Linked DNA regions of Lepisosteus oculatus. The protein of the gene in region 2 purifies or fractionates together with the protein of the main gene of each other region. This does not show direct contact. Links are inferred from orthologs where the notes say so. Each region holds a gene or a part of one and is shown on either strand. Other genes may lie near its edges.

The links.
Region 1: the proteins of fgfr1op2 (region 2) and serine/threonine-protein kinase 24 purify together in Homo sapiens (affinity purification with mass spectrometry; 4 studies listed by BioGRID and IntAct, with this or other methods). This does not show direct contact. The link is inferred for Lepisosteus oculatus from reciprocal best matches to the Homo sapiens genes FGFR1OP2 and STK24.

What each region holds. Positions count from the first base shown.
Region 1 is NC_090710.1:6,273,459-6,277,379, reverse strand, and holds the start of serine/threonine-protein kinase 24, read right to left. Parts: upstream 2,218-3,921; 5' UTR 1,559-2,217; coding exon 1,517-1,558; intron 1-1,516. UniProt on the Homo sapiens protein: Serine/threonine-protein kinase that acts on both serine and threonine residues and promotes apoptosis in response to stress stimuli and caspase activation.
Region 2 is NC_090702.1:54,195,383-54,199,303, reverse strand, and holds the start of fgfr1op2 (FGFR1 oncogene partner 2 homolog), read left to right. Parts: upstream 1-942; 5' UTR 943-957; coding exon 958-1,006; intron 1,007-1,852; coding exon 1,853-1,989; intron 1,990-2,486; coding exon 2,487-2,604; intron 2,605-3,356; coding exon 3,357-3,499; intron 3,500-3,921. UniProt on the Homo sapiens protein: May be involved in wound healing pathway.

The DNA.
Region 1 (3,921 bases), on a different chromosome or scaffold from region 2:
TTGTGGTGTTATTTCTAGTGTAATCATTAGGATGTCACATGTAAAGACATGCAGAAGCAAAGCATTTAGTCATTCAGTCCCCCTTCAACGGTCAACGTTTTTAGCTAAATTTCTTAGAATACTAGGAATTCTGCTGAATACAAGCCTGATTGGGGGAAACACTTCAACAACCAATTCAATCCCAGATACATAATGAGGCCCCAATGACGTACAATTTGCCAATGTGTCAATTATGGATGACATCACAGCTTCACAGCCATAACTAGAGAGAATTTTCTACTTAACACTTGTTAAGGCGGAAATCCATTAATCTCTAAACAGCCTTTGTAGTTGAGCAATTGAGCAGCCTGAATGCAGTAATGCATTCATGTCAGCCTGAAACGTACTAAAAGGTTATTTCGTATTCCTTTAGGTCTTATATTATCTTAAAGTGATTCCTTTAAAAATATTTTTTTTTACCACGTCGGTGCCGAAAGCAAATAGGCATTTAACATAGCAGTTAGGTGACGATTTACTCTGTGATCATCTACTTGGTTAATACAGTAAAAAAGTGCACGGAATCAAGACACTGACGACCTTAAATTAGAGGCACCTTTTCTGCGTAACTGCAAAAGGATTCAAATTTTCAAGTCGTCTGCTGACAATTCCAACAGCATTGTAATTAACGTTATATTTTAATCTAACCCTTGTTCTTTACAATACGTCCCAAATAGAACAACTGTCCAATCAAAAATTATATTTATTGATTAAATAACCCCACAACGAAGCAAACTCTACTGCTCTATGTAAAGGTTACACTCGGTACACCATCCTGCTACAAAGAATACGGCATGAGTGCTCTCCTTTACAGGCCAAAATCGTCAAAAAAAATGTTGAAAGTAAACATCCTCAAGGGCGTCTCTTCTACCCTCAACTATTCAAAGGTTTAACCCCTAGAAAAGATGCATATCTACCGTCCTTATATCTAACTCTTGCAAAGTGCATTTGTCGTTAAAGGCAAATGCTGTACAGACCCTCTTTTCCTGTTAGTGTTCTTATGTTTCGGCTGTTAACAAACGCAACATTCCGCTAGGAAATTAAGTACAGCAATGCACATTGCACTTCGGTGGTCCTGTCCCTACGGACGGCTCTCAATTACTCCAGTGCCCCGGAGAACACGGGACTCGAGCGGGTAAGGTCTCACAGGCCTCTCGTAGTCCCCCCACTTCCTCGCTACTCCTACACTTAAAAGTGCAGGAAGGGGGAAATGTTTGCATCACCAAAAGCAACATCTCTACAGAGTCGAAGCCGGCTGGAGCGCCACGATTTCGAGTAATGTGCTTTCGTGTACTGCTGGGCACAACGTCTCACCGCAGTTCTCCGCCTAGTGCGATACAATATTGCCGCTTGGCAAGCTACAGATGTTTTTAAGTAACGATTGTGTCTTGTTTGCCGCGGTACGCATTTCAGGGTCGTGTAATGTTTTTCCCACTTAGTAGGTTGAACATTTAAAGAAAACGGAAGGTGAATGTCTTACCTGCATCCCAGGCAGGCCAGTCTGCACCGGGGAGTGAGCCATGGCGTACAGCAGTTTGAGCCCGAGAACTTGTCAAGAAACAACAACACGATCTCCTAACTCGGATCCCAGCAAATGCGAATTTGTATATTCCTGTCCTCTTTGATTTGTAGGTTATGTCCTGTAGATACGAGAATTTATCCACAGAAAACAATAAATTTAAAAAAAAATCACAGACTGACTTCTGGCAGCCCGGATCAGGTTTACCCAGCTTTCCGAAGGGTCCTTCCCTTTTTTTTTGTTTGGATGAAAACCAAACTATTTACCCCCAGAACATGAACTACAAAAATAAAAAAATAAAAATCAACGCATACGGATCACAGTCCGAGACAGTTTTTTTAAAATATACGCGCCGGTGACGTGCTGTGCCTCGGCATTTTATTTTTTTCACGAAAGGGAGCGCAGGCTTTTTGCTTTGGTGTGCAATTCGTCTTCCGTGGACAGATCTCCCACCGTAACACACAAACAAGGGTGCATGTGCTCCGCTACCATCCCACCACTGCTTGTCCAAAAAGGTGGCGCCCGTGTTTCGAAACCCACCCTACAGTAGCGCTTAAAATGATAATCAGCGTTAGAGCAGTTACGATATATTATTGTGTTGTCCTCCTCACTCTGCTCTCCTGCCCTCCGCCATCTTGTCAGCACTGTCACTCTGACATCAGGGCGGATCCGGGCTCCCAGGCCCAGTGGCGCTCCTGCACCGGCAGAGGGAGCCACTCTTCCCGGCTCGCTCGGTCCTTCACTCCCGGGCAGAATGTTGGCCAGCCTCTACTCTGCTCTGCTGTGCAAAAGTAATAATAATAATTAATAATTGCTCGCACTTATATGGCTCTTTTCTGGACACTCCACTCAAAGCGCTTTACAGGTAATGGGGTCTCCCCTCCACCACCACCAATGTGCAGCATCCACCTGGATGTGTTATTTTAAGCTTATGCAATTACATTCGCCCGAAACGTGCAGTTGTTATAATATGCACAGGATATAATATGCACGTTCGAGCACAGGATTTGTGACAGAAATGATATAAATTTGATGGCTGTACAAAAAAAAAACCCATAAACCATTGAAGATTAACTTAATATTCATAGACGGGTGTTCTCGCCTAGGCCCCCCAAGGAAACGGAAACTTTAACCCATGTAATGGTAACCGTAATGGTGGCGCATTGGTTAGTATTGCTGGGGCCCTGACTTCAATTTCTGCGCTGCTGTCTGCGTGGAGTTTGTCTGTTCTGTCCGCGTTCGCACGGGTTTCCGTTTACCAAAAACGCTGTAGGTGATTTGGCTTCCCGCTAAGGTTCTAGGTGTAACTGGGTGGCTCCCCCGCAATCCTGAATTGGAAAAAGTAATTAGAAAGCAGATGGATGTAGTATTTATGTAAAAAAAATGCATGACTGCTGGTCGGTACAATGACCATACTTTTGGACCATTTTTTTCAAATATCTTGTCCACTTGGGTCACGTTGTTGATGCAAGTTTGCACAACAAAGGTGTGAATTAGCACACGCAATGTGCGGTCGTCTACTATATTGTAATGGAGATTATGATTAATAAGGATGATTATTTGACTCCTACTTTTTGTTTTACTTGCATTTATGCTGGCTACCGCAAATATGTAATACTCGTGATGAAATAACCACACACATGCCTTTTCTCCGTGATCGAGTTGCTGACAGAAGTGAAAATCTAGTTTCACCTGTCCAGCTGGACGTACTGTACCTTGTGCAAAGCTTTTGGTTCAAGAGAAAAAGCGCAGACCATTAACACTGTAGCCATTTTCTCAGTGCATCGCCTGGACATGCGATTATACCGTTCAATTTGGGTTCTGTCCGATTCCTACAAATCTCCAACAGTGACTGTACTGGGGAGTAAATTAAGGAAACAGTTCAATATATGGAAAGTGTCATGTAATTTGTTCACGGCTTTTGTTCATTAAGTTAGGAAAAAATTCACAACAAAACTTGTGCTTCACACTTGCTCTTTATGTAAGACAGTCACGTAGTCAAAAACAAGTAAAAAAATAAAAAAGGGTCAACATTAGTGAAAAACTATATATTGTTATCAAGATATGGAGTTTTAAAATTATTTATTAAAACAACAAAAGAAGGCGATGATGGAAATACAGTGCCCTCTGGTTGAAAAACCAGGAATTCGGGTGGTGTGGGTTTGCGGGCTAAGATGACTCGTTTCTCTCATAGTGACGGCGGGAAAATGTATATTTAAATAGCATGCACCTAATTATTAAATAACACACCTGCAGTAGGCTCCACGCCTTCTGCTTTTCAGCATGGAATTAACATCTGCTTGTTCCTTTAATTATTAAAGTGACATGTTAACCTGTATGGTGCATGACAAACATGGCATGCCCAC
Region 2 (3,921 bases):
ATAGGCTTTTATGTATCATAATGAACATAGTGCAACAGGGATGACCGTCGACACATTCGTTGTTTTTCTTAACACTGCCAAAAACTTCTGAGGATGTCGAATCGGTTCTCTGGTCTGGATTTTCAGGATTTATAAAACAGTCGGCAGTTGCGTGTCCTTTGGGGGAAAAAATGAATGAATGCTGCCCCCTGTGATAGTGATCGGACAAAATCATTGGACAGAACCGTCGGTTAAGTGTCAGAATAAGGGAAACTTCTTGTTTGCTCATTGGTAGGAGCTGTAGATCAGGCTGTATGTTTGTCTTATTCCAGGATTCAGGGGGTTGGGTTCGACTTATCGATTCCCGGAATACTGTACGCGTTCTGTGTTTCTTTAAATCCCAAACTCTGCCCCACTGATAGTTTAGATATGCTTTAATGGTCCTTAAGAGACTTATAAAAACCGTAGTGGATTATGGTACCGAAGGATGAGAATCTCTCTGCGATCTAGCATTGGAGAAACAACGTGCCTTCTATTAGGACGTGTGTTCTTACTTGTCAGTCCCCACAATTTAATATTAAATAATCCAGGTGGGGCTGCACATTGGTGGTGGATGAGGGGAGTCCCCATTACCTGTAAAGAGCTTTGAGTTGAGTGTCCTGAAAAGCGCTATATAAGTGTAAGCAATTATTATTATTATTAGCGCGTAAGAGTTAATGTTTACTTTAAAGTAAAACCAAGAATGTCTCAACATTACAGTTGATCATTCGGAGATTCTCCTGTGGTCCCCGTGACTGGAGTAGCCTACATGTAGCCCATCAAAGCTGCTGTTGCTGTTCTTGAGCAGCTCTAGCAGATGCCTTGTTCTGTGAATTGAAACATGTGTTTGTGAAGCACAGGCTTTGTAATAGCTCTGGAAACCTAATTCTCCAACGGCAATGTTTTGAAAATTGTACATCTACAGAGACCTTTCTAATAATGGAACAGAAAAAGGATTCACAACACCACAGCCTTCTCATGAAAAAAGGTGAGGCTGTCTACTCAATTCAGATTAGGCCGATAAAGTCTGTTAATAATTAATAATAATAATAATAATAATTGCTTACACTTATATAGCGCTTTTTTGGACACTTCACTCAAAGCGCTTTACAGGTAATGGGGACTCCCCTCCACCACCACCAGTGTGCAGCATCCATCTGGATGATGCAACGGCAGCCATAGTGCGCCAGAACGCTCACCACACATCAGCTATTAGTGGGGAAGAGAGCAGAGTAATGAAGCCAATTGATAGATGGGGATTATTAGGAGGCCATGATTGGTAAGGGCCAATGGGAAATTTGGCCAGGACGCCGGGGTTACACCCCTACTGTTTTCGAGAAACGCCCTGGGATTTTTAATGACCACAGAGAGTCAGGACCTCGGTTTTACGTCTCATCCGAAGGACAGCGCCTGTTTACAGCACAGTGTCCCCGTCACTATACTGGGGCATTAGGACCCACATGGACTGCAAGGTGAGTGCCCCCTGCTGGCCCCACTAACACCTCTTCCAGCAGCAACCTTAGTTTTTCCCAGGAGGTCTCCCATCCAGGTACTGATCAGTTCTTTCTGTGATCACCCTGATTCCAGTTGATTGGTATTGCAGGTGAAGCTGGGGGGTCTGATTCTCTTAGGGTAGTGTATATACATTCTTTCTCATCTTATTTTGCTATGCTATGAATTCTTTCAGAGCGGCGTTGTGATTTCCTCCTTCTTACAGTGGAATCATACGTTCGGAGCATGCCCCCTCTGATCGCTGGGATGCTCTTCACTCGACCTGCTGTGGGGTGTATTCTCTTCACGGTTGTCAAATGGCTATTGTCCCCATGTTTTGCAGAAATGAGCTGTACGATAGACAGAGTTCTGGCTGACGCTAAAGCCCTTGTGGACAGGCTGAGAGACCATGACAGTGCTGCCGAGGTGCTGATTGAGCAGACAACCTCCCTAAACAAGCGAGTTGAAGCAATGAAACAGGTAACGCTGCCTTTCGGCAAACAGCTGTATGCATTTTGTGTCAGAAGTCGGGAAGCAACAGTGAATCACTGAAGAACAAGGGGGTGGATTTCTGTTCTCAGACCACTGTCTGAAGTTAAGGAGCTTTGTGCTTGTGAAATGCATGCCAAAGAAATAGATGAGAGATTTCGATCACTTGGTTGCAACAACACAAGGTGCCTACTAGTGCAAAAGAGCAACCACAAGTGAGAATAGGCCATTTAGCCCAACTAGCGCACCTGACAGTTAGTAGTGAATTGACCTCAAGATCTCATCCAGCTGTTTCTAGAAAAAAAACAGAGTATCAGCTTCAACAACGTGGCTGGGTGGCTTGTTTCAGACTCCCACTACCCTTTGGCAAAGACAGATCTCCTGTTCTCTGCTTTAAATACATTTCCACGTCTCGGTGCACGAAAGCGTATTCATGTTGATGAAATCTGAAGAGGGCTTTTTGAGATGCACCTTTGATTTGCCCTCAGTACCAGGAGGAGATCCAAGAGCTGAACGAGGTGGCAAGACACCGGCCTCGGTCGACCCTGGTCATGGGCATTCAACAGGAGAACCGCCAGATCAGAGACCTGCAGCAGGAGAACAAAGGTGAGACTCGCGTGCCACGAGACGAAACACATCAGCAGAATAATCATTCGTATCTTAGAGAACCACACCTTTTCATCTCTTTTCTTTCCTCTCCATTTGAATGTGTGGCTGCAGTCAGCACCATTCAGACCCGAGTGAAGGCTGATTCCACGCTGCTCAGCAGAAAGAAAGAGCACAAGGCTTCAGCTGCTGAGCGTTTCGGACACTTTCTCACCTGCCGTTGTTCTCCTGTGCTTTATAGCCCTACGTCCTCCCTCTTTCTCCCTCACACCTGAAGAAGGCTCAATAGCCAAAAAACTTTCTTCTTTTTTACTTGTTTCTTTGCAGCTACACAAACCCTTTCAATTGTTCAGATGTGTTAAGTTCTTCAATTTTGTGTAGTTTAAGATGAAGTGAAATCCCATTATTTTTTCCACCTGTCCATTCCTTAAAAATGTCCATTTACTCCTATGATAGAAGTCCTCAGTTCACAAAAATGATCTTCCAGTGAAAGTAAAGGCGTTGTCTTGGGTCACACCTCTTGTTAATATTAGCAAGAAAACAACAGTAGTTGGCAAAGAGTTGGGAAGATTAAGCATTGTCTGAAAGATGTATTGTAAATTGCGATTGTACCTTTAGCAGATTCCTTTTACTGAGTTACTCAAAGTAGTCAGCTTAGTGATTATTTCCTCCCCCTGGCCTACATCAGAAGAACTGAACAGTAAGTGTGTACATTGTAAAAGACTGCTTGTCGTGTCTGCTCTTTTTCACAGAACTGCGCACTTCTTTGGAGGAGCACCAGTCAGCTCTTGAGCTCATCATGAGCAAATACAGGGAGCAGGTCTTCAGGTTGTTAATGGCCAGCAAAAAAGACGACCCTGTCATAATCACAAAGCTGAAAGAGCAGCATTCCAACGTGAGTATCAGATTCACTGTTAGATTTAAAGGACTTTTAACTTTGTGCGGGCTTCTTAAACCTTCTTCTTAAACCATATGTTAGGCATTACCCTTGGCATTCACTTTTACTGATGGCTTTTTTACTGGAATAATCAAGTACCTGACCACCGTGCTGCCCCGGATGCCTGCAGTCAAACACTGTATAGAAAATGATCCTTAAACCCGCTGGCACCTGGAGTGCTTAAAGGTTGTTTTTGTGACTTGGTAACATCCATTGAGACCGATGGGGGTTTTGGATGTAGTATATACTGTATGATGTCATGCTGGATGACATTCATGTACGTAGCTGTGGTGCTTTCTTCAGGTGTCACTGGAAAAATACATTGTATTCTATTGTATGTACACTGGATTAATAATCCCCTTGCAATTACTCCATTTTAT